7 linked regions of the Mus musculus genome follow. The protein of the gene in region 4 purifies or fractionates together with the protein of the main gene of each other region. This does not show direct contact. Links are inferred from orthologs where the notes say so. Each region holds a gene or a part of one and is shown on either strand. Other genes may lie near its edges. The genes, in order: Pfdn2, Uxt, Polr2d, Rpap2, Polr3e, Med19 and Polr2m.

What was found.
Region 1: the proteins of Rpap2 (region 4) and Pfdn2 purify together in Homo sapiens (co-immunoprecipitation; 3 studies listed by BioGRID and IntAct, with this or other methods). This does not show direct contact. The link is inferred for Mus musculus from reciprocal best matches to the Homo sapiens genes RPAP2 and PFDN2.
Region 2: the proteins of Rpap2 (region 4) and Uxt purify together in Homo sapiens (affinity purification with mass spectrometry; 4 studies listed by BioGRID and IntAct, counting the BioPlex papers as one, with this or other methods). This does not show direct contact. The link is inferred for Mus musculus from reciprocal best matches to the Homo sapiens genes RPAP2 and UXT.
Region 3: the proteins of Rpap2 (region 4) and Polr2d purify together in Homo sapiens (affinity purification with mass spectrometry; 5 studies listed by BioGRID and IntAct, counting the BioPlex papers as one, with this or other methods). This does not show direct contact. The link is inferred for Mus musculus from reciprocal best matches to the Homo sapiens genes RPAP2 and POLR2D.
Region 5: the proteins of Rpap2 (region 4) and Polr3e purify together in Homo sapiens (affinity purification with mass spectrometry; 3 studies listed by BioGRID, with this or other methods). This does not show direct contact. The link is inferred for Mus musculus from reciprocal best matches to the Homo sapiens genes RPAP2 and POLR3E.
Region 6: the proteins of Rpap2 (region 4) and Med19 purify together in Homo sapiens (affinity purification with mass spectrometry; 3 studies listed by BioGRID and IntAct, with this or other methods). This does not show direct contact. The link is inferred for Mus musculus from reciprocal best matches to the Homo sapiens genes RPAP2 and MED19.
Region 7: the proteins of Rpap2 (region 4) and Polr2m purify together in Homo sapiens (affinity purification with mass spectrometry; 3 studies listed by BioGRID and IntAct, counting the BioPlex papers as one, with this or other methods). This does not show direct contact. The link is inferred for Mus musculus from reciprocal best matches to the Homo sapiens genes RPAP2 and POLR2M.

Annotation. Positions count from the first base shown.
Region 1 is NC_000067.6:171,344,355-171,348,474, reverse strand, and holds the start of Pfdn2 (prefoldin subunit 2), read right to left. Parts: upstream 2,801-4,120; 5' UTR 2,764-2,800; coding exon 2,689-2,763; intron 1-2,688. Other genes in the region: Nit1 (deaminated glutathione amidase), read left to right, coding at 2,906-2,907, 3,475-3,561, 3,936-4,120. UniProt on the Homo sapiens protein: Binds specifically to cytosolic chaperonin (c-CPN) and transfers target proteins to it. Binds to nascent polypeptide chain and promotes folding in an environment in which there are many competing pathways for nonnative proteins.
Region 2 is NC_000086.7:20,959,179-20,963,420, reverse strand, and holds the start of Uxt (protein UXT), read left to right. Parts: upstream 1-1,442; 5' UTR 1,443-1,487; exon of another isoform or gene 1,488-1,571; intron 1,572-1,634; 5' UTR 1,635-1,643; coding exon 1,644-1,741; exon of another isoform or gene 1,742-1,745; intron 1,746-3,401; coding exon 3,402-3,483; intron 3,484-3,618; coding exon 3,619-3,686; intron 3,687-3,955; coding exon 3,956-4,063; intron 4,064-4,242. UniProt on the Homo sapiens protein: Involved in gene transcription regulation. Acts in concert with the corepressor URI1 to regulate androgen receptor AR-mediated transcription. Together with URI1, associates with chromatin to the NKX3-1 promoter region.
Region 3 is NC_000084.6:31,794,667-31,797,209, reverse strand, and holds the end of Polr2d (DNA-directed RNA polymerase II subunit RPB4), read right to left. Parts: intron 1,923-2,543; coding exon 1,827-1,922; intron 1,161-1,826; coding exon 1,082-1,160; 3' UTR 501-1,081; downstream 1-500. UniProt on the Homo sapiens protein: Core component of RNA polymerase II (Pol II), a DNA-dependent RNA polymerase which synthesizes mRNA precursors and many functional non-coding RNAs using the four ribonucleoside triphosphates as substrates.
Region 4 is NC_000071.6:107,600,696-107,604,195, reverse strand, and holds part of Rpap2 (putative RNA polymerase II subunit B1 CTD phosphatase Rpap2), read right to left. Parts: intron 2,466-3,500; coding exon 2,351-2,465; exon of another isoform or gene 2,340-2,350; coding exon of another isoform or gene 2,337-2,339; intron 2,241-2,336; exon of another isoform or gene 2,215-2,240; intron 903-2,214; exon of another isoform or gene 671-902; coding exon 572-670; intron 376-571; coding exon 310-375; intron 1-309.
Region 5 is NC_000073.6:120,927,778-120,931,277, reverse strand, and holds part of Polr3e (DNA-directed RNA polymerase III subunit RPC5), read right to left. Parts: intron 3,391-3,500; coding exon 3,275-3,390; intron 2,851-3,274; coding exon 2,768-2,850; intron 400-2,767; coding exon 292-399; intron 30-291; coding exon of another isoform or gene 18-29; coding exon 1-17. UniProt on the Homo sapiens protein: DNA-dependent RNA polymerase catalyzes the transcription of DNA into RNA using the four ribonucleoside triphosphates as substrates.
Region 6 is NC_000068.7:84,677,011-84,681,201, forward strand, and holds the start of Med19 (mediator of RNA polymerase II transcription subunit 19), read left to right. Parts: upstream 1-1,391; 5' UTR 1,392-1,434; coding exon 1,435-1,651; exon of another isoform or gene 1,652-1,818; intron 1,819-4,191. Other genes in the region: Tmx2 (thioredoxin-related transmembrane protein 2 isoform a precursor), read right to left, coding at 841-1,029. UniProt on the Homo sapiens protein: Component of the Mediator complex, a coactivator involved in the regulated transcription of nearly all RNA polymerase II-dependent genes.
Region 7 is NC_000075.6:71,483,184-71,487,329, reverse strand, and holds the start of Polr2m (DNA-directed RNA polymerase II subunit GRINL1A), read left to right. Parts: upstream 1-1,346; 5' UTR 1,347-1,533; coding exon 1,534-1,646; intron 1,647-2,371; exon of another isoform or gene 2,372-2,595; intron 2,596-3,524; coding exon 3,525-4,146.

The sequences.
Region 1 (4,120 bases), on a different chromosome or scaffold from region 4:
AAATAAAACAAGCACCTAGTACGAAGTATTACCTGCTCCTATTTTCCTTGTGAGAGACACACTAGGCTAACACACACATCAGTAATAAACCTTAAATTGGGCTGGGAAGAAAATTTCACAGGTAAAGAGCCAAAGAACCAGGGTTTGAGCCCCAGAACACACTTTTTAAGAAGGAAGAGGAGGAGGAGGAGGAGAAAAAAGAAGAGGAGGAGGAAGAGGAGGAGGAGGAGGAGGAGGAGGAGGGAAAAAAAAGGCAGGCAGGCAGGCAGGCATGGTACTGAGGCATGAACTGCCTGGCACTGGAATGCTAGTGAACTTAAATTCTGAGGCTTGTTTTCCCAGTGCTGAGGAAAGGGAGGATCAATGGACTCTCTGGTCAGCCATCCTAGCCTACCTGGTGAGTTCTAGGCCACGTGAAAAACCCTGTGTCAAAGAACAAAGTTGACTGTATCTCTTTAGGTCTTGCAATATATCTCTTTAAATTCTCCAGCATTTTCAATGCCAAGCAGTTCATGGCTCAATGCTTTTGAACACACTACTTCTAACGAAAAAAAATCTTCACATGACTAACTTTTCCCAGCCTTTAGAATTAAGCCAAAAAATCTAGAAAATAAAAGGAAATTAGCATTTAGAAAGACTGTTCAGATTATGTGCGTGCAAGTGTGTCTGTCTGTGCGAGATCAGGTGCTCGAGTGCAGAGGCCATCTCTCCAGCTCTAAGTAGCATTTGTTAAACACACTATGTAGTCTCTGTATTTAGTCATGGTGGAAAAAAACAAAACAAAACAAAACCCAAATGGATTTTCTTGCCTAGTACTCTAGTTACGAAATGGAAAACTACTGTGCTTTTACAGATAGACGAGGGTAAAAGGTAACAAGAGAAATCATATATAAATAAGAAATACAAAGCAAGCACAGGTCATTCTGATTCTAGGCCAGGAAACCCTCCCAACCATTCCACTACCCGCCATTCCCTTGCCTACTTACCTGCCACATCCGAAATCTACACTACTTTGGACTCTCTCTCCAAACTGTGCAAGAAAAGTTCATTATGTGCAGAAGTTTGTAGTGTAGGGTTGGAGAAATGGCTCGGTGGAAGAACGATTACTTTTATAGCGGAGGACCTGGGTTTGGTTCTCAGCACCCTCATGGTAGCTAATAGGCAGTTATCAGAGGTTTTGACCACTCTTCTGGTCTCTGAGGGCTCCTGCACACATGTGGTATATGCACATACACATGCAAACACACATAAAGTCTCATTGTTTTGTTTTTGAGACTGTGTTTTACTCTGTAACCCAGGCTAGCCTGGAACTGACAGGGTAATCCAGGGGGATTATGGGTATGGGCCACCACACTTGGCTGTGACCAAGTTTAAGACAAGGTCTATTTCATTTACCTGTTCCTCTGGGTTAAGCAAAGCCAAACACAAGACGGACTCTCCAAAGCATTAGCATTTTTTCCTTCCCACTATGTCAGAGGCTACACCCTCTTCCATCTCCAGAATTCCCCTGCACTTCAGTTCTCCCTGAACACTTACTTTCTAACTCTTTGACAGTGTGGGTTTTAGACTCTTTATGCTGATGCTTTTACCTGTAGGAATTGTTCAACAACCAACTGACAAATGTACCTATGATTAAAATTACTCTTCTGGGGCTGGTGAGATGGCTCAGCTGTTAAGAGCACCGACTGCTCTTCCAAAGTTCAAATCCCAGCAACCACATGGTGGCTCACAACCATCCGTAATGAGATCGGACTCCATCTTCTGGAGTGTCTGAAGACAGCTACAGTGTACTCACACATGAAAGAAAGAAAGAAAGAAAGAAAGAAAGAAAGAAAGAAAGAAAGAAAGAAAGAGAGAGAGAGAGAGAGAGAGAGAGAGAGAGAGAGAGAGAGAGAGAGAGAGAAAGAGAGAAAGAGAGAAAGAGAAAGAGAGAGGGGGTGGGGGGTGGGTTCTGCCCTCTTCCGAAGTCAATCTTTGCAAAGAGAGCACACCGAGCAAGCTCGAGGCCAGCGTAGGCCACTTAGTAAGACCGTGTCTCAAAGACGAAATAATCCGAGCCTTTAATCGCAGTATGTGGGAGGCAGAGGCAAGCGGATCTTCCAGGCCAGTTTGGTCTACAAAGTGAATTCCGGAAAAGCCAAGGCCGGACCCGACCCTATAGCAACCCTCATCCCCACCTCCAAGACAAAACAAACAAACAAACAAACCACAGACTCCTTAGTCAAAATAATTTACGGAACACTAAACTGCTCAGAGTCTGAGTCACGTGGCTCTGCAGCGTGTTGGTGATGGTGAACACGGTTTTTGAGCCATGAACTACATAAGCCACTCACTGACTAAGAACAGCTTGGAATTCGTTACTAGATGCCACGCCAAACACCATACGCTCTTTAGGGTACCTCGGAGAGGGGGCAAACTACGATCCATCTTCTCAGAGACCTGGCCAACCCTCCCAGACCCTGCAGCTCAGGGCTTTCTCCCTTGACTACCCACCCACACCGCGGGCGTGCCTCTCCCCTACCTACCCAGGCTCTAGAAAGGTTCGTGATCACCTCCAGAGACCCCCTCTCCCCCGTGCGTGCCCATGGAGACCGTGGAAAGGACTAAAGGCCCCTTCGAGCCACAAATCTTATCTTCTACACGAATTCGACACCGCCCCGGGTGCCTTGTGCGCTCGCGGCTCCTCACCTGTTCCGCCGACACCGCCCCCTTCCCCGCGCCGCTCCCGCCGCTCTTGCCCACACGACCGCTGCTGTCCGCCATCTTCCCCACCTGCAAGCTTTCCGGCCTGCGCACTCTCACTGCGTCACATCCGGCCGGGGGGTTACCGCCCACTTGCTCCTGCGCTCCTGGCTCCTGGCAGCTCTTGAGATCCGACCCCGTGAATGGTTTTGGCTGTGTCTTCATGTAGGACCTACTCCCAAACCCTGCCCGCTGCGGTGAATTCCACCTGCGATGCTTTAACTTGTGCAACAGAGATTCTTGCCCGGGGGGGAGAGGCGGGGAAGGACGCGCTAATCAGAGGGCGGGGGCTCGGGTTGGGATCTGGTCCTGTACCCATCTACCCACCATGAGATGGTGGAGATCTAGGGAGGGTGAACTTTCCTTCTGAGATTCGGGTATAAGGGGAAAGATACGTGTTGAGTCTATAAAGCTGTGCAGGTGGCACAGCCGAGAAGAGAATTGGGGAAACGAGGAAGGTTCCATGAGATGACTTGAACTGCGGAAACGTTTGGCAAAGGAAAAAGGGCTTCAGTTTTAATGTGAGATCACTGGAAGTTGAGGTATTAAGGCACCGATCATAGTCGCCTCTCCCATTTTCCCATTTTATATCTTTTCCTAGCTACTAGTAGTAAAAAGTATTTTCGAAGCCTTGGGGGAGGGGATTACTGGCCAGGCCTGGAAATGGCAGAGAATTCTAGAAACTTACGGCTTGAAAGAGGGTTAGGTGTCCTGATTTCTCACCTTCTTCAGGCTGGGCTTCATCACCAGGCCTCCTCACCAACTCCTGTGTACCGGATACCGATTACTTCGAACCCCAGTACTTTGTACTCAGCCCAGGTAACATATTTCGTAATGTTCTCTCTCTGGCGCATAGCTGCTTAGTTCGTGTTTATTAACTTCATAGTGGGAGACAAAGATATCTCCAAACATGTAATGAGTGAACTCCAGTAGCTCTAGGGTTATTATGCTCTGTAAGAATGAAAACAAGTTGCTGGGGTCACCTGTAATGCCAGCACTCGAAAAAAAGGAGGATCAACCAGGAGTTTAAGGTCATCCCCAGTTACATAGAAAGGCCTGTCTGGGCTACAAAAGACCGTGTCTCAAAAAAGAAAAAAGTCAAAAGAAAATAAAGTTTCTGGCTCCACCCCCACTTGAGCCTCTGAGTTTCTCCTAGATAGAAAATCTGAGGATACTGCCTGTGTCATTCACAGGCCCAGAACCATGTCCTCATCAACTTCCTGGGAGCTGCCCCTGGTGGCTGTGTGCCAGGTAACATCAACACCAAACAAGCAAGAGAACTTTAAAACATGTGCTGAGTTGGTTCAAGAGGCTGCCAGACTGGGTGCTTGCCTGGCCTTTCTGCCTGAGGCATTTGACTTTATTGCACGAAACCCTG
Region 2 (4,242 bases), on a different chromosome or scaffold from region 4:
AACAGCAGTAACCTACAAGCCGCCGTGCAGAGTGAACTCAGGCTGTCAGACTGGTTAGCACCGTTTAACCAGTGAGCCATTTGGATAACCTAAAAGTATCTTTTAAATTAAAGAAAAATTACATGAAATATGTTAATAAACTTAACAGACCCAACTCTAGTCTATCTAAACTGTTCTCCTTAGCAAATAAAGATTAACTAATATTATATAGCTTCCTAATATCTGCTTTAAGCACATCAAATTTACTTTTAAATACATGTAACATCAAATTTTGGTTTTGGTTTGGGGGACAAGGTTTCTCTGTAGCCCTCATCATGGACTGCATGCCACCAAGCAGAAATTCATTCAAGATAAATTTCTTAAAATTTGTCTCCATTTAAACATTTTTATGTGCTCTTATTCATTCCCTTTATGGAGGGTGAAAACCAAACAATGTGTGCAACATATATTTTTTTCAAACAGATCCCCACAGGATATACTGCCTTCCTTATAGATTAGTACCATAATCCTTGCTGGTCTATAGGCACTCTTGTGCTTTTAAAATTATTAAATGCTTAAGTGGTCTCAGTGAGTTCTTTTGGTTTTGATTTGGTTTGTTTGTTTTAAAGAGAATATGAAATTGGAGGAAAATGTGGTAGGAGGAGTCTAGGAGGAGTTGGAGGGAAAAGGGAGTGGAGATGATGAAAATATATTGCATACATCTATGAAACTCTCAAAGAATAGAAATGTTTCTAAAAGAAAAAAATAGGGACTATATAGATACCTCAGTAGTTAAGAGCACTGGCCAGTCTTATAGAGGACCCAGGTTCGATTCCCATTACCCACATGGTGCACACAAACTGTTGGTTGCTCCAGTTCCAGGGAATCCCACAACTTCTTCTGGCCTTTGTGGGCAATGCACGCATGTAGTCCATAAACATGCAGACAAAACACATAAAATAGGAAAACAAATGTAAGAGTAAGGAGGGGGGAATACAGAAATGGCTCATCAGTTAAAAACACATAAAACTTGCAGAGAATGTAAACTCCATTATCAGCACCCACATCATGGTAGCTCACAACTGCCTATAAGTTCAGTACCAACGCGCGCGCGCACACACACACACACTTCAAATTACTAATTATAAACACTTAACTCCCTCTCCCTACCTTCCTGTAAGTCCACCCTCCCTCAGAACCCGCCAAATCTCATTGAACGTCACCCAAACCAGTCTCCCGCCAGCTCGCGACGATCCGCCTGCTGGCAGACCGCGGCGTGCCAGGCCCATCTAGATCCATAGGATCCTGCTACCTCCAAGGATTCACTCAGGCCCCGCCTGCAGCCCTTCCCCTAAGTGCATCTTCCCACACGCCGGACCGCCCCTCCCATCGATTTGGTTGGCTCCCTTGCTGGAAATTACATCATCCATCCGCGCCACCCGGAAGCCGCGGCTCATACTAACAGTTATTGCCGGTGGCCCTACGGTAAACGCCGTACTCCTGTACCGGTGAGTGAACGAGTTCCAAAATCGGGTTGGGCAGAAGCAACTCCGTAGCTCGAGCCGAAAGAAGTCATCCCCAACGTTGAGTGGCTGGAGAGAATTTTGTGAAGTTTAAATAGAGCGCTCAACGTGCCCCCCCCTTTACTCCCCCAGGTGCCCGTCATGGCGACGCCCCCGAAACGGCGGGCCTTGGATACGGTGGGGGAGAAAGTGCTGCGGTACGAGACCTTTATCAGTGACGTACTGCAGCGAGACTTGCAGTGAGTGACAACGTGGGAGGCGTGACGTTTGAGAAATTTCACGTGGTGGGTGGGACAGAATGCCGACCAAACTTTCGGATTGGCCGCCCAGACTTCTGGGAATAGGGTTGACTTCTGGGCTGAGATGTGGTTGGAACTTGTCCCTTTAGCAGAGCTCTGACCTTGTTTGTTGGTTTAAAATAGTCATTCCGAACACAGGGTGTTTCTGACTAGGCCATTTAACCAATATTTATGAACAAGTTGTACCTTACTTCACCTTTGTGAACTTTATTCATCTGTGAAATGGAAAAGTTTATTAGGCCTTCTTAACGTGGTGTTTGAGTTTTAAATGTGTCAACTCCGGCACTTGGGAGCCAGAAGCAGGAGGATCTTTGTAAAGCTGAGAACCAGTCTGGGCTACAGACTAACTTTCTCAAAGGGAGAAAAAAATAGAATAAAGCCAGGCTCAAGCTCCATGGTGTGTGCCACTTCTAGTGGAGAGATGGGAAAATTCACTTGTTTAGCCAGGATTACAAGCCAGCCTTGAAAATAGAACAATATTCTATTTTAAAAAAAATCCAGTGTGGTGACACAGGCCTGCAATTGCTGTACTTGGGATAGTGTCAGGAGCAGGATGACCCAGAGTTGAAGGTGATCTTCACCTACATTCGAGGTTGTGTATAGCCTGGGCTTTGAGATTATGTCTCAAAACAAGCAAACTAGGGCCAGCAAGATGGCTTGCCTCCAACCCCATGCCCTAAGTTAGATCTCTGGGACCCACATGGTGGAAGAAAGAAAGACTCCCAAAAACCTGACCTCTGACCTCCAGGTATGTATCATGGCACCCATACATGTACACAAAATAAACACATAAATGCAAGTAAGAACACATTTTAAAAATGCAGATAAACCCCACTATTATTATATTGAGGCTGAGAGGAAAGAATTGTTTGGTGTGTTTACAAATTCAATACTTAGCCTGAGAAACTCAGATATTGTCTTGGGTAATAAAACAAATAACCTAAATAGTTGTTTTAGGAAAGGAATTTGACCCCAGTGCCTGAAATACACTAAAGACTCAACAACTGGATGATTGCTATTGCTGTCATTACTAATCTGAATAGAAAGTTAGGTATTTAGAACTAGGACTGTGTGAGCATGCTAAAAGAGATGGAGAGGTACATTTAGGGTGAAGATGGGACATTTTAATTGGCATAAGTCACTGAATAAAATGTAATATTTATAATTATAATAGGTAACAAGTATATAATGCTTACCATTTGGCTAGCATTTAAAACACTTTGTAGTAAACACTCGATTCTAATGACTCTTATGTGCTACTACGGCCATCTCTGTTTTCTATGTGAAGAAACTTAATCCTAGGTAGGTTTTCTACTTTCCATAGTCACATTCCTAGTAAGAGGTAGAGGTCAGGCTGAACTACAGTCTGACCTGTATTTATTGAAATGCCTGCTGTGTCTCTGTCTATACCCCATTGTGTGTGTTTTGGAGGAGGGGAGCACGGGATCTCACGATGTAGCACAAGCTGGTCTTGAGCTCAGAATCCTCCTGCCTCAGCCCATGAATTACATCCATGTCAACCACAACCTGACTTAAAATGCCTGGCATCTCAAGAGGAATAAGGCTGCCTAATGTTCACTGTTGTATTTCTACATATCAGAAAGGTGCTGGATCATCGAGACAAGGTATATGAGCAGCTGTCCGTATATCTTCAACTAAGAAATGTCATTGAGCGACTCCAGGTAAAGGTTTTTAAATTGGGTACCACTTTGTGTATGTGTACAAAGAAGGGAGGCGGGAAGAAACCCCAAGAACAAAACCTTATCTGCCTTTAAAATTGCCCGCTGACACCTACCTCTTTTCTCCTGGCCCTATAGGAAACTAATCACTCGGAGTTATATATGCAGGTGGATTTGGGCTGTAACTTCTTCGTTGACACAGTGGTGTGAGTATATTCTCTCCCCTCCTGAGTTTCTCCCTTTTTTCATGGAACAAGTATTTCTTAGTATTTTCTATATACAAGGCTCTAGTAGCTTTTATATTTCATTAGGATATGAGCAACATGTTGTGGGTGTGGCCAAAATGAACACAAAGTATCTGCCTTTACAGAGCCTTCATTTTGAGAAACAGGAAGGAATAGGAAACACCTTAAACCATACAGTGTGCTAAATAGTAATAAAGACTTCTTCCACTTCCTCTGACCTCTTTCCTCAGCCCAGATACTTCACGCATCTATGTGGCCCTGGGATATGGTTTTTTCCTGGAACTGACACTGGCTGAAGCACTCAAGTTCATTGACCGAAAGAGTTCTCTCCTCACAGAGTGAGTGCATTCCAAGAGGATAGTATCTAAAGCCACTACATTGGCTAAGGGTACAGGGAAGTGGTAAGAACATTTGCTTAGCATGTGTGAAGCCCTAGGTTCTATCCATATCACACATCACACAAACACATACACAAAATATATAAAAGCCAGATATGGTAGTTCACACCTGTAATCCC
Region 3 (2,543 bases), on a different chromosome or scaffold from region 4:
GCAAAGTTCTTTTAGTCAACTGTCTCTCACTCTTTAAACATTGCAGGGTGGCTGGGGACTGGCTCAGTGAATAAGGGTATGTGCTATGCATGAAGACCTGAGTCTGTCCATTAGCACTACCGTTAGTGAAAAGACTGCTGTGTTCCCACTGTACATGCCTTGAACCCCAAGGTACAAGCAAAAAGAGAAAGTGAAGACAGGATTGTTGGGGCTTTTGGTCATCCAGCCTAGATATAGGTTCAGTGAGACAGAGCCCATTTCAAAGGACAGAAATATGGGTATACACCCAATGTCCTCTGCTAGTCTCCTTACATAGATGCACACACTTGCACATACATATGTACAACACACAAACAAACAAAAGCAACTTCTGGGCTAGAGTGTTGCTCAATGGTACAGCACTTTTCTAGTATGTACAAGACTTTGGACAGAACTGACTCCTGCCCCCCACACATGTGCCATGGATCATGTACCCTCTCCCCATTAACAAATAAATACAATTCTTTTAAAAAAAAACAGTGTTCTGGTTTATTTCTCCCCTTTACAACCAAGTGAAAACACTCCTCTCCTATGCAAGTTTTTTATATATCATTTTAGCTTCAAAAACTACAAAATAATTGACATTAAAATCTGAAGTGTCAAGAACAAAAAAATAGTAACATGGGGTCCAAAAAAACCACGGTACGAAGTAGTCAACGAATGTTTGAACATCATTCTACCTCAGCAGTTCAGGATGGCAGCCTGCCTGACCACAGCAGCCTTAAAAGGCTGCAAGGAGCGCAGATGGTAGTTATGGTCTAACAGTCACTGTGAAGATAGCACCTACAGCATCAATAGCCAGCCTTTCTTTCCTCTCCAGAAGCCAAGCTGAAAGTGTTGGCTCACACCTGTAATCCCAGCACCTGCGAGGCTGAGGCAGGAGGACTGTTATGACTTTGAGAACTGGAGAGACACTCTCTCGCAGTGAAGCAAAAACTACGAAAGAAGCTCCAGCGTCTTCTGAAGCAATGTTCCTGCATGAGGCCTCCCCAGGCTTCAGACCGTGGTGCTGTAACTCAAGGAGCAGAGTGACGTCTGCGGATCAGTACTGGAAGCTGCGCTTCGTCTGGATGTCATCGAGAATCTGCTGCAGCTCCTCATCTTCAAAACGCCCTTCCAGGCTGTAAGAAAACCAAGAAATGTAAGTGACTTGGCCGCTGGAGGTTTCCCCAGTCTGTCAAAGGAGGCTCATCTCCGAGCAGCTCGCTTAGCTCTACTGCCTCGAAGTTTAAACTGAATGGTTTTTGACATTCCTTTATATAAGCACTAAAAAGTTGTAAATAGAAAAAAGATTTTTAAAAGCTTCAACAGTCACACATGATGTAAATTTAATTTTGTTTTGTTTTGTTTTTTTCGAGACAGGGTTTCTCTGTGTAGCCTGGCTGGCTGTCCTGGAACTCACTCTGTAGACCAGGCTGGCCTCAAACTCAGAAATCCGCCTGCCTCTGCCTCCCGAGTGCTGGGATTAAAGGCGTGCGCCACCACTGCCCAGCAACTCAAACTATTCTTAAGCCAGCATGACCATTTACACCTGTAATCCCAGCCCTTGACAGGTGAAAGCAAGACAATCAAGATGTTCAAGGAAAGCCTTGGTTACCTGAGACTACCACCAACAAACCACAAAACCAATCCCCAAATCCTATCTCAAACACCATTCAACTACATTCCTATTCAATGCTGCCATGTCATTAACCCAAATATTAAATGCATACAACTTTTAGTTCTAGCAATTTGACTTATAGAAATCTATAGAAAATAGACAGAAATCTATCCCATCCGGTACTAACCTTGGAATCAGAGCTTTGGACTCTTCAGCAGTCTCCGGGCAAAGATTGGCTAAACAGGCCAACTCAAACTTATGTAACTTTTTCTGGAGAAGCAAGCTGATTGTAGCGGAAAATAAAAACACAGAAAGACTGTGATGAAGTGAGCAGTAATGGGGGGAAATAAGTATGATCAAAATATATACTTGAATAAAAATGTCACAGTGGGACCCATTACTATGTGTAGTTATATGCTAATAAAAAACAAAAATTAGGCCGGGCGTGGTATTGCACGCCTTTAATCCCAGCACTTGGGAGGCAGAGGCAGGTGGATTTCTCAGTTTGAGGCCAGCCTGGTCTACAAAGTGAGTTCCAGGACGGCCAGGGCTACGCAGAGAAACCCTGTCTCAAAAAACAAAAAAAATTATGTTCTCATTCAGTGTCGGTCAAATGCTAATCATTCATCAATAGCAAAAAGGAGATTGTAATATTTGATTATGGTTATGTGGGCATCAGAATCCTCCTTTGAAGTCACTTCCTGTTCCTACCCCAGAAAATCAACAAGTTCCAGAAAAAAACAAAAAACAAAACAAAAACAAAAACAAAAAAACAAATGAAAAACAGCAGGCAGAGCCAAGAACCCTGAAAAGAGCCCAGCAGGGTAAGGCGGCATATACACGCTGCATTGGAGAGGGAACTCGGGAGTTAAGTGATGCTCTTTTTAGAGGTCACAGGTTGAGT
Region 4 (3,500 bases):
TTATACTAGCATGTATTCATGTTTTCAAATGTTCAAATCATTTTTGAGCTAGAGAGGTAGCCCAGAGAAGCCTCAAACTTGCTGCAGGGCCGAGAATAAATCTAACCCTTGACTCTCCGGTCTCTGCCACACCCAGCTTCAAGTCTTATTAAAGCTCAAGCAAGAAATTTTCTTAGTACCTTAGCTTTTAACAGAAACAACCTGTAAATATAGCTATTTTCTAACAGACAAATTTTAAAGTAAAAAAATTAAAGTTTTGTACAATTTCATTTAAAAATTAACTGCCACTTTCAATAGCTCTGAACTTACCTTCCTTTCAGTAATATCATAGACTTTATTGGTTTTAGTAGAAATTCGATATTTCTGTTTCGGGATCTAAAGAAAAATAAAGTACAATTTACAAAAGAATTTAGTTAAGGAACACAAACTTTATGTTATATACAATTAAGTCATTTACAATTAATACTTTTGGTCAATCCAAGTTATTATTAGTTCATGACCACAGGCTTAACTTACTACTCTGTGATGTTTTGTAAGAATTAATAAATATACTTTAAAGGAAAGTACTTACAACCCCTAGCTTCTTCTGACACAAAGGATAGCCACAGAGTTTGATGATGGACCGCTCATCCACAACGTCGCTGTAGTGAGCTGGTGTGATGAACATGCCCTGGGGAGAAACAAGAGGGCATTTCCCAACAGACTGTGAGAGCTCTGGGAGCACAGGAAGGAACTGACATCAAGAAGGGTCTGACATACATACGGTAACATTGTTACTTTAAACACTTTGAAAAGATGGCTGAGCTGACATATGGTAACTACCATGGGTGGAGCCATCCCTGTGCTGTGGTCTTGGTTCTACAAGAAAGCAGGCTGAGCAAGCCAATAAGCAGCACTCCTCCATGACCTCTGTATAGGCTTCTGCCTCTTGGTTCCTGCCCTGCTTGAGTTTCTGTCCTGACTCATTTGGTGATGAGCAGCAATATGAAAGTGCAGGCAGAATAAGCCTTTTCCTATTTGGTCATGTCCAATGTCTGGGATCCACTCACAGTCTTCTGTACTCCTCCAAAGGGCTTGGGTCATTTCTCCAGCTCTGCACTCTGTAGCACATACTGCTTGCCTTCAGGCTGGCTCCACTCCACTGCTGTTGCTGTCCCATGGTAGTCTTCCCACAGTACTGGCATCTCTGAAACACTGGGGTCTTCTACTGCAACTGAGATGCACTTTCACCAATAGTCCCTCATGGCTCTCTTCCTCAACTTCTTTGCATGATCCTTTCAGTCTTGGGTTGCACCTTCACCGATGGCTTTTCCTGGCGTCGCACAGTGCCAAACCTCAGCTGTTCTTCATGATCCCTTCATGTCTTCAAAAGCAGTACCACCTGGGTGACTCTGGCTGCCAGTACAAGGTACAACCATGGTCACCTATGGAACACAGCTTCCCTGTGCTCTCAGGAAACACTTCCCAGAAGATTTTTATCTCAATAATGTTGGTCTCTTCTTGATCACTGCTAATTTCTCAGCTCCAGCTGACCAGCATCAAGTATCCCAGCAAAGCAAAGGCTTCAATTTAGTAGTTCTGAGCTCTTGTTAAATCACAGCTGGTTCTTTAGCCCCACCTAACCGGAACCACAGAATCTTAATCCAAAATAGCAAACGGCCAGAGTCTTAAAACTTCACAAGCCAGGCCTCACTGTCTGCACTGTTTTCAACATTCTTATCTTCCAAGCTCCCAAAGATCATCCACTGAGCTCTCAGCTCTCAATGGCTTTTTCTTGCCCAAAGTTCCAAAGTCCTTCCACAATCCTCCCCAAACCATGTCTGCCATAGCAAATACACCACTATGGCATCAGCTTGTCTATTTTTGTTAGTCAGGGTTATCAGTTCTGTGATGAAACACCATGGCCAAAAAGCAAACTGGGAAGAAAATGGTTTATTCTGCTTGTACTTCCACATTGTTGATCATCACCAAAGGAAGTCATGACAGGAAGTCAAGCAGGGCTGGAACTTGGAGGCAGGAGCTGATGCAGAGGCCATGGAGGAGTGCTGCTTACTGGCTTGCTTCCCCTGGCTTGCTTCCCCTGGCTTGCTCAGCCTGCTTTTTTTGTAGAACCCAGGACTAGAGCCCAGGGATGGAGCCACCCACTGTGGGCTAGGTCCTCTGCATGGAGGCGTGTCCTCAGCTGAGGCTTTTTCCTTTTCTTCTTTGACTTACCTGTTCTGTTTCCTCTGGTCCTTTGTCTGTCAAGTCAACAAACAAAATCAGCAAGTACAATACTCATATACACAAATAAATCTTTAAATATAGATATTCTATTTTAAATCTGGTAGTCTGACCATTGAACACGTACACACTCCTTCAGGAATTCTTCTGTGATGTTCTCCTCTAAGAGCTGCTCTACGATGCGCACAGCTTTCCTTTCAAACTCCACCTTCCTTTGTATAGCAGCTTCCAGTTCTGCTTGCCTGAAATTTTAATGAGAAAGTTAACCCAATTCAAGACTTCTCCTACCTTCAACACTCCGTGCTTTAAAAGCCACCTAGTGGCCTACTATTTTGCCAATAAATGAGCTTTTAACTCTCCACCTCTGATCCAATACTTTTTGGTCTTCCCAGTGTGTACATGGAAGCTGGCCACGAGGACTTACTTCTAGGCTCAGAGAACAAGGAAACACTTATAGACTCCAGTAGAGGAGGGCTGGGCAGGACATGGTGGTACATGCCACAGTTACACACTTGGGAGGAGGCAGTGGGAAGATTCAGAGTCTAAGGCAAGTGTGAACTACATAAAATGAAGTTATATTTTTAAAAAAGAGTATATATATAAATTTTATAACAAAATTTATATATATAAATTTTCCTTTTGTAGTTTTGCCATACATAGTAAAAAAAATTTTTTTTCTCTGTCACATAAGTAAACAGAATGAAGGGTGAAGAGATGATTTCTACTTTTCTTTCACTCAAAAAATTGTCAACAGCCTAGTTGTGGTAGCTCAGCTTACTAGAACAGTTATGTCTGAAAAGAAGAGCAGCATTTTCTCACCTTCATTATAAAGTCCTACTAAATAACTATCCTGATATGTGAAATGCAGTCGAGGAACCCTTGCCATAGCCACCACGGGTCCCATCAGTGCTCTGTCCCCCCCTCTCCCCCAACACACACACACACACGGAAGGCAAAAATCGAAGCTATCTCAGGAAACAGCCTCACTGAGCTGCACACCAAGAACAGACACCATGTCCAGGTCCCACAACAGGCCCAGTCAACCAGAATAGGACAGAAGCACAGAAGGGAGATTCACTGTCACGCTCAGGATACAGTGCTGTGGTGACTTACTCGCTCTTCTTCTAGGTTGGGACCTACCAGAACTACCTCTGTTGGTCACCAGGTCTTACCCTTCTCTCTCACATCTGGAACCTAGAAACTTTCATGTGTTCACGTGAAGGTAGGAACCTTCATTAACTTTTGAGACTTTAGACTCTCGTTCTTTGCCTAGAGCA
Region 5 (3,500 bases), on a different chromosome or scaffold from region 4:
CTGAGAAGAATCCCCTGCTGCAAAGCAAGCTGTCAGTACAGTCTCTACTGGGACTGCTCATTCTGCCCCAACATAACCCTCCCTCAAGAGCGCCAAGCAAGGGGCCCTGCTCTCAACTGGAGCAGTTTAATCCTCAGGTGATGTCTGGCCATCTGTGGGGACATTTTTTGGTTGTCCCAGATGTGGTATTTAGTAGGCAAGGGCCTGGCATGTCAGTAAGAATCCCACCACCTGATCTCTGTCAAGTGCTCACGTGAGCTCATTCAGACCACAGGCTGTCAGCAGGCTCACCCTCATTGGCTGCCTCCCTCTCTCGGTGCTTGGCATCTGCCTTATCAAGGTAGGAGAAGCTGGGCCGAAGCTGTAGGATGCCATGTAAAGGTGTCAGGTGGAGCTCACCTGGCAAAAGAAGAAGGGTTTGAACATGCCGCTACAACCCAAAGCCGACATACCCAACTTGCTCAAAGGAAACACCAAGTCCCCCAGAAGGCCTACACTCACTGTTACAACACCAAGCCAACTCCAATTCCAATTTAGCCTCTTCAGGAGACCAGGTCAGGAGCTGTTTCCAACTAGACACACTAAGCACGCCCAGAGCAGGAGCCTGATTCTGCTCAAGGCTACTTCCTGAGATTTGCCTCTCTACACTCTCTGCCATGTCATGTCTCCAACCTCATGCCTACTGCTCCCTCTATCCACAATGCACAACTCACCCACTCTTCCCTCTGGGCTCTGCTATAGTGCTGTTGCCAGACCCTACCAGAGTCCATTAGAGGACAGCATAGCCTTTAACTAATATGTCTCTGGCTGCAAGGATTATAGCTTCCTGGGCTGGAGAGATGGATCAGCAGTTAAGAGCACTTACTGCTCTTCAAGAGGACCCACATCTGATTCCTAGCACAAATACGGCCCCTCACAAGCACTCCTAACTCCAATTCTGGACTCTGCAGGCACCAGGCACGCAAGCAATGTACATACACACGTGCAGACAAAGCAGTCAGACATAATAAATCTAACAACAGATGAGCAGGCAGTGGTGGCACACACTTTTAGTCCCAGTACTTGGGAGGCAGAGGCAGGTGGATCTCTGAGTTTGAGGCCACTCTAGTCTACAGAGTGAATTCCAAGACAGCCAGGACTACAGAGAAACCCCTATCTCAAAAAAAAAAAGAAAAAGAAAAAAAAGGGGGCGGGGGGCAGGAGGGTGGGTAGTGTTGCAGCATTGAGCTGTAGTTCAGAACAAGACAGTAGCTATGGACGACAACAGGATTCTTGAGACAGGATCTCCCTACATGGCCTTAGAAGTCCTGGACGTACCGTGTAATATACCAGACGCCCTGCCTCTGCCCCCGAGTGCTGGGGTTAAAGGTGAGCACTAGTGATACACTTCGGAATGTCTCCTCTCTTCTCAGAGCCTGTCATTCGTTGCTTTGCAAAGCCCAAGTGCTGAATGTAGTACCTTGAGCAGCCAACAGATGTGCGGAGTGTGCTCTGACACACTAGACACCCCCAGCTGAAGCACACAGCTTGATATACACTAATATAGTCTCAAAATTGTGGCAACTCTGCCACTCTCAGCTTTGGCACATCTTCAACACCTCAAAAAGAACCTGTACTTCCCATGATCACCTTCTTCTGCCCTTGGGGATATAGTAGAATGGTTAGCTCTGTCAACCTGACAACACCTGGAGTCTCAGTCAGAGTGGCTAGACTGTTAGCCTGGGGCACGTCTGTGGCGCATTATGGTGATTAACGAGACAGCACACTCTCTGTGGGTGGAACTGTTACAATGGGCAGAGGGTCCTGAACAAGAGTGTAGAGAGCAAGCCGAGTACTACATGCATACATGTATTCATTGCTCTCATCTTGACTGTGTAATTACTTCCTGCTGGTTCAGCCTCTCAGGAAGGTCTGTAAACTGCAACTGTGAACCTCTTTTTCCCTCATCTGCTTTTGTCAAGGTGTTTTGTCACAGGAATAGGAAAGAAAATTAAAGCACGTAGTTCGCTATCATTTTTTTGTTGTTAGTGGTGTCTGTTTTGAGACAAGTCTCTCTCTATATCCCTGGCTGTCCTATATACTATTTAGACCAGGATGGTCCAGAACTCAAGAGATCCACCTGCATCTGCCTCACAAGCACTGGGATTAAGGGCATGCTGAGATTAAAAGTGTGTACCACCATGCCTGGCTATATGCAGTGTTTTGAGCATGATTTCTACCATCCACATGGATGCATACATTCATCAGGGATTCGCTCTTTCACATGAGCAGATAAGTCTGTTATCCTTATAGATGTCCTGTGGATATGGCACATTTTGTTTACGCAGGCATCACGTGATAGGTTTGGGGCCGTTTCCATTCATTGGCTCTCATGAATAAGGTCCTATGAACATCTGTGTCCAAGGTTTTATATACACATATTTCTATTTGTCCTCAGTGCATGCTGCCCATGTATGAATAGGATTGCTTGGTTCTAAGTAGCATGTACTTAAAAGGACAAAATTCTGCAGCCTGTCCAATACTATGCTATGTTGCATATGTGTTCCCAGGAGCAAACTGACTTGAAGCTCCAACTCTACCAAGTTGGAAGTGCCCAGCAAAGTCCTCTTCGCAGTGCTTTGACTCCATAGTTTTTCATTTCCACACTGCCCTGATCCTGCACAGTTTAGTGTTCAGTAGCAGCCAACAGCACACATAAGACTAGATGAGGTCCTCAGGCCCAGTCTTCCCCGTGCTCTCCCAGGGTATAGCCAGCTCTCCCAGGTACCTTGCCTGTAGAGTGCAGCGGCATAACGAGCTGTGTTGCTGGTGGTCTGGGAGGAGCAGAAGGTCTGCTTGTCCATCAGCTTTCTGGGAACACAAGGAGAATTAGTGTCAAGGGCTATGATGCTCTACAGAAGCCGGCCAACCCTATTCCATCCCAACAGAGATCCACCTGCCTCTGCCTCCCGAGTGCTGGGATTAAAAGTGAGCACTTGTGATACAACTTTGGAACGCTTCCTCTATTCTCAGAGCCTTGTCAATCCAATGTATACTAGCTAGGACTAAGGGATGAGAAAACCCAGAGCTCTGAGGGATCAAGGGATAATGATGGGCACCCGCTGGGATAAGCCAACGTAGGAGGGAAGGCCAACAACACTCTTGGTTAACGGTAGAGACCTGACATGATTGGGATCCCAGGGAAAGGGCAGAAAGGACCCAATGCCTGAGGCCACTAGAGACTCCTCTTTAACCTTTACCTTCAGTGGGAGGGACCCTGGGGGCAGGAACTCACGAGGAATATGTGCTAGTCTCGTCAGCACAGGCACCGTCCACGTTCAGTGCGATCTGCTCCCCTTTGCTGCGGCAGTAGTTGGGATTCAGGGTGTCGATGGCCATCTCAAGCTCTACCTGAAGGTACAAAGCACCACCCAACTTGGAAAGTGCCATGGCACAGCTCCCCAGGGACACTCCCAGCCAGGTCCCTACCTAGACGCAAGAGTGACCAGTGTCCTTCCCAA
Region 6 (4,191 bases), on a different chromosome or scaffold from region 4:
TAGAAATCCTATATAGACCAGGCTTACATCAATCTTAAAGAAGTCCACCTGCCTCTGTCTCCAGAGAGCTGGGATCAAAAGGGTACAACACAAAGCCTGGCAACAGTACTGTATCTTTAATGTAAACAAAGTTAATCTTATTTGAGAGTCCCAGAACATGTGAGGCCTGCCCAAGGTTATATCAATACCTTTAGGCCTTAAGTCCTGGTCATTGCTATTTTAGCATAAATACCTGTATAGGTATTTATTAGCTCTATGTCCACAACCTTTACGGCAAATGTTAATTGTTCTTACATACTGCTTCTTAGATGGTTGAGGGGCCTCCCTCCCCACACCTCATATTTTTGTAATCTTCCCTGTTTTTCTATCCCACCGCAGGAAGATAGTGTGCATAGTTACTATGCCCAGAGTATTCGATTTTCCATCCAAGTCATTTATTTTGTTGAGTCAGCGACCTTCGTCTGCCAGTCTATCAGAGAATTGAATAAGGTTAGACAGCACTTTCTGAACGCTGCGTTTCCTTGGGAAATCGCCTAACTACACTGTGATCACTTCGTTAAAAATTAAACAAAAAAAATTTAATGGTATTTCTACTATTGGCCTTTTCTTCACTGGCGCCCCAGGTAGCTTGGAATCACTGTAGAATACTGTTCATCTGTGATGGAAACCCTGTAATCTGTTTCTCCATCTTAAACACGGAGGTTATGACTAGATAACGGCCTAGGCTCTGCACTCAGTCTGTAAGGCGGCTACATCCCGAAACCTGCTCCCAGATTTTCACATGCACCTGCAGGGCAGGGATGGTCAAGGTCGAGAGCTGGTAAGGCAGGGGGCGCTCACCCAGTCAAAGTCACACGGGTTGCCATCTTCGCGTTGCGTGGGGAGACCATTGCAAATCGGTGGCAGTTTCCTCACGAGGAGGAAAGCAATGGAAAGCAGAGCAGACAGAAGGCAATAAGGTCGGGCCAGCCATCGAGAAAGCCGCGGCACCGAGTACACCAAAGCAATCAGAGGCGCAAGGACAGCCATCTTTCCTGCCTACTCTCTCGCAGGCTCACTCCCGCTCCCCAAATCTTCGTCCTCCGCCCCCACCAGCAAGGCTTCTATTGGACCAAATATCAGATGCAACGCCTCCAGACCCGGATGTAGATCTCTTATTGGATGCTATAATAGATCAGAAAATGAATTAAATAGTCTATTGGTCCTCATCGTTGTCGCTTTTCTAACTGAGTCATTTTATTGGCTATTAGTCTGCGAACCACCTTCCTAACCAGTCTCTCAGGCGACGGAAGTAAGTTGCCGGAAGATGGTAGGCGGGGCTTAATGTATCCAATGATGGGACACTCTTAGACGAAGAGGGTGGTACCCTGTGAAAGTACTGTCCAATCAAAGTAATTAACGCCCGATCCCGGGTAACCAGGAGCGCAGAGTGCTATGGAGAACTTCACGGCACTGTTTGGAGCTCAGACTGACCCCCCACCGCCACCAAGCGCCCTAGGCTTTGGGCCTGGAAAGCCACCCCCGCCACCCCCTCCTCCTCCGGGAGGTGGTCCAGGCGCAGCCCCGCCCTCGACGGCAACCTCGGCCCCCGCAGGAGCGGATAAGTCGACGGCTGGAAGTGGCCCCTTCTACCTGATGCGGGAATTGCCAGGTGAGTAGTAGGCCAAGAGTAGCCACTCAGATTGTAGTTCAGGTGAGGGTGTGGCTAGCCTGTCCCGCTAGGTGTGAGATAACAGGGCTACGCGGGGCCAGTGGGCAACAGTGTCAGAAGCCCTTTGGCGATTCACAACCCTAAGGGATAACTTGATTTTCTGGGGTGGGTTTGGGTTGGGTGTGAATATCTGGGACAACCTTCAGCGAGAAGTTCTGTGATCCGGGTTCTCTGACTGCCGTTTGTGACTCTATAAAAACGTGAGCCGTTGTTTAGAACTCGGGAGACCCGATTTAACATTTCTGGAGACACTTAAGATTTTAGTTTAAAGTCTGTCACAAACTTGTTGGTTTGTAGCAAGTTGCCTTCCTTGTCAGGGACTCGGAGATTAACCTGTTCAAAGAAAGGATTAGAATTGAATCAATTCTTACTTTCATAAAATTATTCGGGGAAATTGTGGTGGTGGGGGGCGTGGCTCAGTGGTAGAACTCTTGCCTGCCTTGCAAAAGGCGTCGCGTTCACAGAATCATTTCTGAGTAGGTAGCATTCAAGAATAAACAAAGCCATCCCTGTTTGGATAGAGAGGAGATACTAGGTACAAGAAACTAAATCAGGAGACCTTGGGGGGCGGGGCTTAGAATATCTGAGGGGCAGAAGACACATTGGACTCAGGAAAGCGGAAAAAATCCAGTAGTGATGGGAAATAGGTAGAGGCTTTTATAAGGCAAGGTAGGTTGTTTAAAGTTCAAATTGAAGTCATTTCAATATAGGTGCAAAATGATCTAATTTAGTGATTTTTAGATATCCAGCAGAAACATGAAAAATGAAAATAGGATAATCAGAAGTTGCCAGTCAGTGTTCAGAAAAGGAATGGTTTGGACCAGGGCTTAGTGGTCGGGAAGCAAATGAATACAGGATACATGTTAAAGGTAAAGCCTACAGAAATAAAGAACTAAATATACACAGAGAGAGGAATTGTGAGTGTCCTGTACAAAGGGTACAGTAGTCTGAGACTAGGAAGGCATGGAAAGAAAAAATTTGAAGAGCTAAAACTTAAGAGGCGTTCTGGACATGTTAAGTCTTGGGGAACTTGTAGTACTCCATACCAGCACTCAGGAGGTGAAGGCAGAAGGAGCTATAGTTCAAGCCCAGCCTAGGAGACATGAGATCCTGCTTCAAAAAAGAAATAAAAACCTCAGTTATCCCAGTATTTATTAGCAAAATAGTTTGAAGTTCACATCAGTGCAGTGTGTAACAATATGTAATACTTACTATAGTCCTTTTAGATAGATAGGTATTGTCTGTATTTTTTAATTGAGAACTGAAGCATAAAGAAATGACTGTTAAGGCAGTTTTCTTTTTCCTTATTTTAGTTGTTTTTTGTTTTTTTTAAAGATATGTATATGACTACACCATTGCTCTCTATGGACACACCAGAAGGAGGCATCAGATCCCATTACAGATGCTTGTGAGCCACCAGGTGGTTTCTGGGAATTGAACTCAGGACCTCTGGAAGAGCAGTTGATGCACTTAACCACTAAGCCAGCTCTCCAGCCCATCTTACTGGGTTTTTGAGACATGGTCTCACTCAGTAAGCCTGGCTTGTCTCAAATTCATTGTAGACTAGGCTGGCCTTGAACTCACAGAGATCCACTTGCCTCTACCTTCAAGTATGTACCATCATGCCCAGCTTCTTCCAGCAGTTTATCTTTTGCATTACCTGTTCTAATTATACCATTAATAGATCAGTTGATAAGTACTGAATATCCAAGGTATGGTGGGATTATGAGAAGTAAAGATTATATACATATATATATGATTTATTTATTTATTATATGTAAGTACACTGTAACTATCTTCAGACACTCCAGAGAGGGCATCAGATTTCGTTATGGATGGTTGTGAGCCACCATGTGGTTGCTAGGATTTGAACTCGGGACCTTCGGAAGAGCAGTCGGCACTCTTAACCACTGAGCTATCTCACCAGCCCCGAGAAGTGAAGATTATTAAGCCTAGTTTTTAGGTAGCCTATTTTTTGAGATCCAAAATACATGGTTTAAGGATTGTGCTTATATTTTGTGGGTGTCAGTCTTATTTATTTATAGTTCAACACAGGAAGCAATGTTAAAAACTACCTGATAGTTTTCAAAATGTGTTAGCCAAAATGACAGCAAGAATAAGATGTCATTTGAACTAAACACTGAAGAATTTATATAGGTAAACAAAATTAGAAAGTTGTTTTCTCAAAGGAAATAGTGTTACAGTTTTTTGTTTGTTTGTTGTTTTTTGTTTTTCGAGACAGGGTTTCTCTGTGTAACCCTGGCTGTCCTGGAACTCACTCTGTAGACCAGGCTGGCCTCAAACTCAGAAATTGGCCTGCCTCTGCCTCCCAAGTGCTGGAATTAAAAGTGCCACCACTGCCTAGCTGTGTTACAGTTTTGTTGCTGTTTTCTACCCAGAAGATAATTAGATCTGCTGCAGACCCTCTGGTCCCGCAAGATCCATCTGGATACATTAGAAATTTTGCATGGAAGATTAGT
Region 7 (4,146 bases), on a different chromosome or scaffold from region 4:
TCCAGAACTAACTACATGCTGTGGTCTCTTAGATCTCTTAGCAATGCTTCAAAGATAATTGTTTCGAAGTCCATCAGGTATAAGTGTTATAAAAACAATGAAATGTGACTCTCCCTGAGAAGCCCATGCCCATCTCTGGGTATATGTTCCATTTGAGCACTTTTATATCTCTGAACACTCATACTTAGGCCTGTATGAAAATATTTTTTATTAGACTCCTATTCTCCTAGTCCTGAATATTTTCAGCATCAAAGTTACAAACCCTGGTTTGAAATCCCTAAAAGATTAGAGGAATTTCTCAGGCCGTGGAAGTCAAGAGTGGAGCCGTTCTTCCTTTCTATTCCCTTTGTTAATATGGCTTAATAAGCCCACTCTTAAGAGAAATGAGAGTTTATGTTGACATGAACATCTATTAAAAATGTTGACAGTGACTTGATCTGTGATCATTAAGAACTGAAAACAACTCAAATATCCTTCAGCATAAACACACAACTCACAATGCAATACTGCCTAGCAATAAAAAAGGGGCAGGGCAGCAAAGCCCGAATCAGAAACTGTCCAACTACTTGCCAAAGACGCTGTACTATTTTGCATCCTCTGCTCCCCCATTAGCAGTCTGTAGGAATCTCAGTCGCTCTTCATTATTTCCAACAGTTGACATGGTCGACCTTTCTAATTCCTGATATTCTGACTTGCTCAAATATTCAAATCTTGTTTTGTTTGAGACAGAGTCACTTTGCAACCTCGAATTCACTATGTAGATCAGGCTGGCCTTGAACTCAGTCAGCCAGACTTAAAGGCATGCACGACCATACCTGACTATATTGTTTCTAATATGCATTTTATTATAGCTAGCTATATTGGTCACTTGTTATTTTTTGAAGACTAAATTATGTTAATGTGTGTGTGTTTGTGCGCAGGTGTCTGGAGAAGCCAGAGTTTGTGAAGTGCCCTGGAGCTGCAGTCTAAAGGCATTTGTAAGCTACCCAACAGGGGCACTGGTACCCAAACTCTGGCATACTGCAAAAGCAGTATGCCCTCTTAGCCACTGAGCCATCATTATAACCCCGTTATTTATTTTAACTGTGATTAATGTCCATTCAGGAATCCCTGTAAATTTTTTGTCCAAAACTTTGATTGCTTAATCGTAGATGCGACGCTCTATTACTTTCGTCATATTTTACTTATTAGAAGTGAGTTTGTAAGTCTTTGACTTGAGTGTCCTATATTTCCCAGTGCACAGGCGAAAAGCCGGGAAAGCAAAAGGCCCATCCAGAGAAAGCCCGCCAAACCCAGACGCCTTGGCGGTGATGTAACTTCCGCCCCTGCACGCTTCCTCGGGCGTCCCCTCGTCCTGGCCTGTCCGTTTCCGGCATTTCAATAAAGCTCCCTTCGGCTCGGAGAAGCCGTGCTCTTCCGGGAAAATGGCGACTCCCGCTCGCGCTCCAGAGTCGCCGCCGGCCGCGGAGCCAGCGCCCGCCGTGGGCCCCGCCGGGGATCCCTGCCCGCCGCGCCAGCCGCAGCCCGTGCGCAATGTTCTCGCTGCCCCGCGGCTTCGAGCCCCCAGCTCCCGAGGACTTGGGGCGGCAGAGTTCGGCGGAGCTGCGGGAGAGGTTGAGGCGCCAGGAGAGACTTTTGCGCAACGAGTAAGCGGTGGCCCTGGGGTCGCGGTTGCGGGGGATCGGGATCAGGGAACAGGCTCTCAGGGATCGGGATCCGGGGACTTGGTCTCCCGCCCCGCCCCGCGGCCTGGCGCGCGAAGGTGACCTTGCGTGGCCAGGCCTCCCGAGCCAGGCCTGTCCTGTGCGCGGGCATGGCTCCATGCTGCCCGGCCCTCACTCGGCAGCCGCGCCTGCTCGATTTCATGTTCGCACTACAGCTTTGAACGAGCTCCGGTACCAAAGCCTCTTGATCGGAACGTGTGGGATTTCCTTCTCTCTATCTGAAGCCCCACTCTTTCCCCAACCATAGATTTGGAGAGCGGGCTGGAAAGTTTGGTTCATGCGTAGTGGGGAGAAGATGATAGCTGATTGCCTAAAGGCAGCTTTGTTTAGGAACAGGATTGAAGGAAGACGCCAAAAGGATATTTTCTGAGAGGTTTTTTTTTCAGCAAGGAGGGAAAAATGGACCATGAAGGCAATCGAGGGATTGGGGGAACTGGTGTAATAATTTGGAGACAAATATATATTAATAGTTAACAGGTGGTTGAAGTTTCTGGGGAGCAACAAAGAATAATGGGAAAATTGGGAGAGAGGGATGGATTTTAGGTTAATTTTTTATTTTGGGCGTATTCAGTTGAGGGAGTAATTGCAGGCATTTAGTTAATTAAAAGCCAACCGATTAAAACCCAGAGGAATGAGTATTAGGCACAAGAGAGAGAAGGCTGAAAAAAACCGAGAGGAACTCAGTTGCAGAGAGGCATTAATACTGTTGAAAACGTGGGAATAAATGTATCAGGAAAAATAGAGGACCCAAGGTTTAGCCCCCTTCTCCTGTTTGTTATATAACCAAGGAAAAGAACCAGAAAGGGAATTTTTGTCACTGAGGGAAAGGAGCCAATGACCATTTGGCAGGAGGGGTTCCTACTAGAAACAGGTAGGTATTTTGACTTTTCAAGATTGGGTTGTTAATTTTAGCAGTGAATTAACCTTCTGGTCTTGGAACATTTTTATACTCTTTAAGAGTTATTTGGCATCTCAAAGAACTCCTGTTTATATATGCTGAGTCTAGAAATATTAGCAGTTTGCCAGAAGCAACTGAGAATTCTTTCAAACACAGAACCACATAAGCAAGTCCATCTTCCTTTGTAAGATAGTGATGTTATCCCATTATGTAACCTCTGGCATTCCTCAGTTCATCGGGGTTCAGAGACCATGGCTTAAAACCCACTGGTCCTTATCATATATTTATTGTACAGGCTAACCATGTTTTCCTAAGTGCTTAAGACCATTATTTTATATTTTTAGGAGGCTTGGAATGTATGGGTAGAGTTAAGACCCAAATTTAAATATAAGTTTCAGTTGTTTCTTACACATGGCTTGAAGGTAATTTTATACCATGTTCCTTATAGCTTGGGGGGGCGGGTTGAGGGGTTCAAGACAGGGTTTCTCTGTGTAGCCCTGGCTGTCCTGGAATTCACTTTGTAGACCAGGCTGGCCTCGAACTCATAAATCCGCCTGCCTTTGCCTCCCAAGTGCTGGGATTAAAGGCGTGCGCCACCACGCCCTGCTCATAGTTTGGGTTTTGACTACACCTCATCATCCTGTGGTCAGGTGTGAAACTTTCCACCCTGAGAGAATTTCATTTCCCATTCAGAGCACTCCCTTGGGGGAGGGGTTAGAATAATTTTACGTGTTTGGTTATTGTCTTAAGCCAGATTTTTTAAAAATCAAAAAAAATTTTTTTTAAACTTTTAAGAGCCAGCTTTTCTTTGATTCCATTTTGCCTTTTAAATACTGTGTTCCCCATGTTTAAAAACATGCCTGTAATATGTATGTGCTGGTTTCTTTTTTTCCACTCCACAGAAAATTCATTTGCAAATTGCCCGACAAAGGTAAAAAGATCTCAGACACAGTTGCCAAACTGAAAGCTGCCATTTCAGAACGTGAAGAGGTTAGAGGGAGAAGTGAACTGTTTCATCCTGTTAGTGTAGACTGTAAGCTAAGGCAAAAAGCAACCACAAGAGCTGACACCGATGTAGACAAGGCCCAGAGTTCTGACCTGATGCTTGATACTTCATCATTAGATCCTGACTGTTCCTCAATAGACATTAAGTCATCTAAATCAACCTCAGAAACACAGGGACCTACACATCTCACTCACAGAGGCAATGAAGAGACTTTGGAGGCTGGCTACACAGTAAACAGCAGCCCAGCTGCCCACATCCGAGCCCGGGCGCCCTCATCCGAAGTTAAGGAGCATCTCCCCCAGCACTCTGTTTCAAGTCAAGAGGAAGAGATCTCCAGCAGCATCGACAGTCTCTTCATCACTAAATTGCAAAAAATCACAATTGCAGACCAGAGTGAACCCTCAGAAGAAAACACCAGCACTGAGAACTTTCCAGAACTGCAGAGTGAGACTCCTAAGAAGCCTCATTACATGAAAGTGCTAGAAATGCGAGCCAGAAACCCAGTGCCCCCTCCTCAT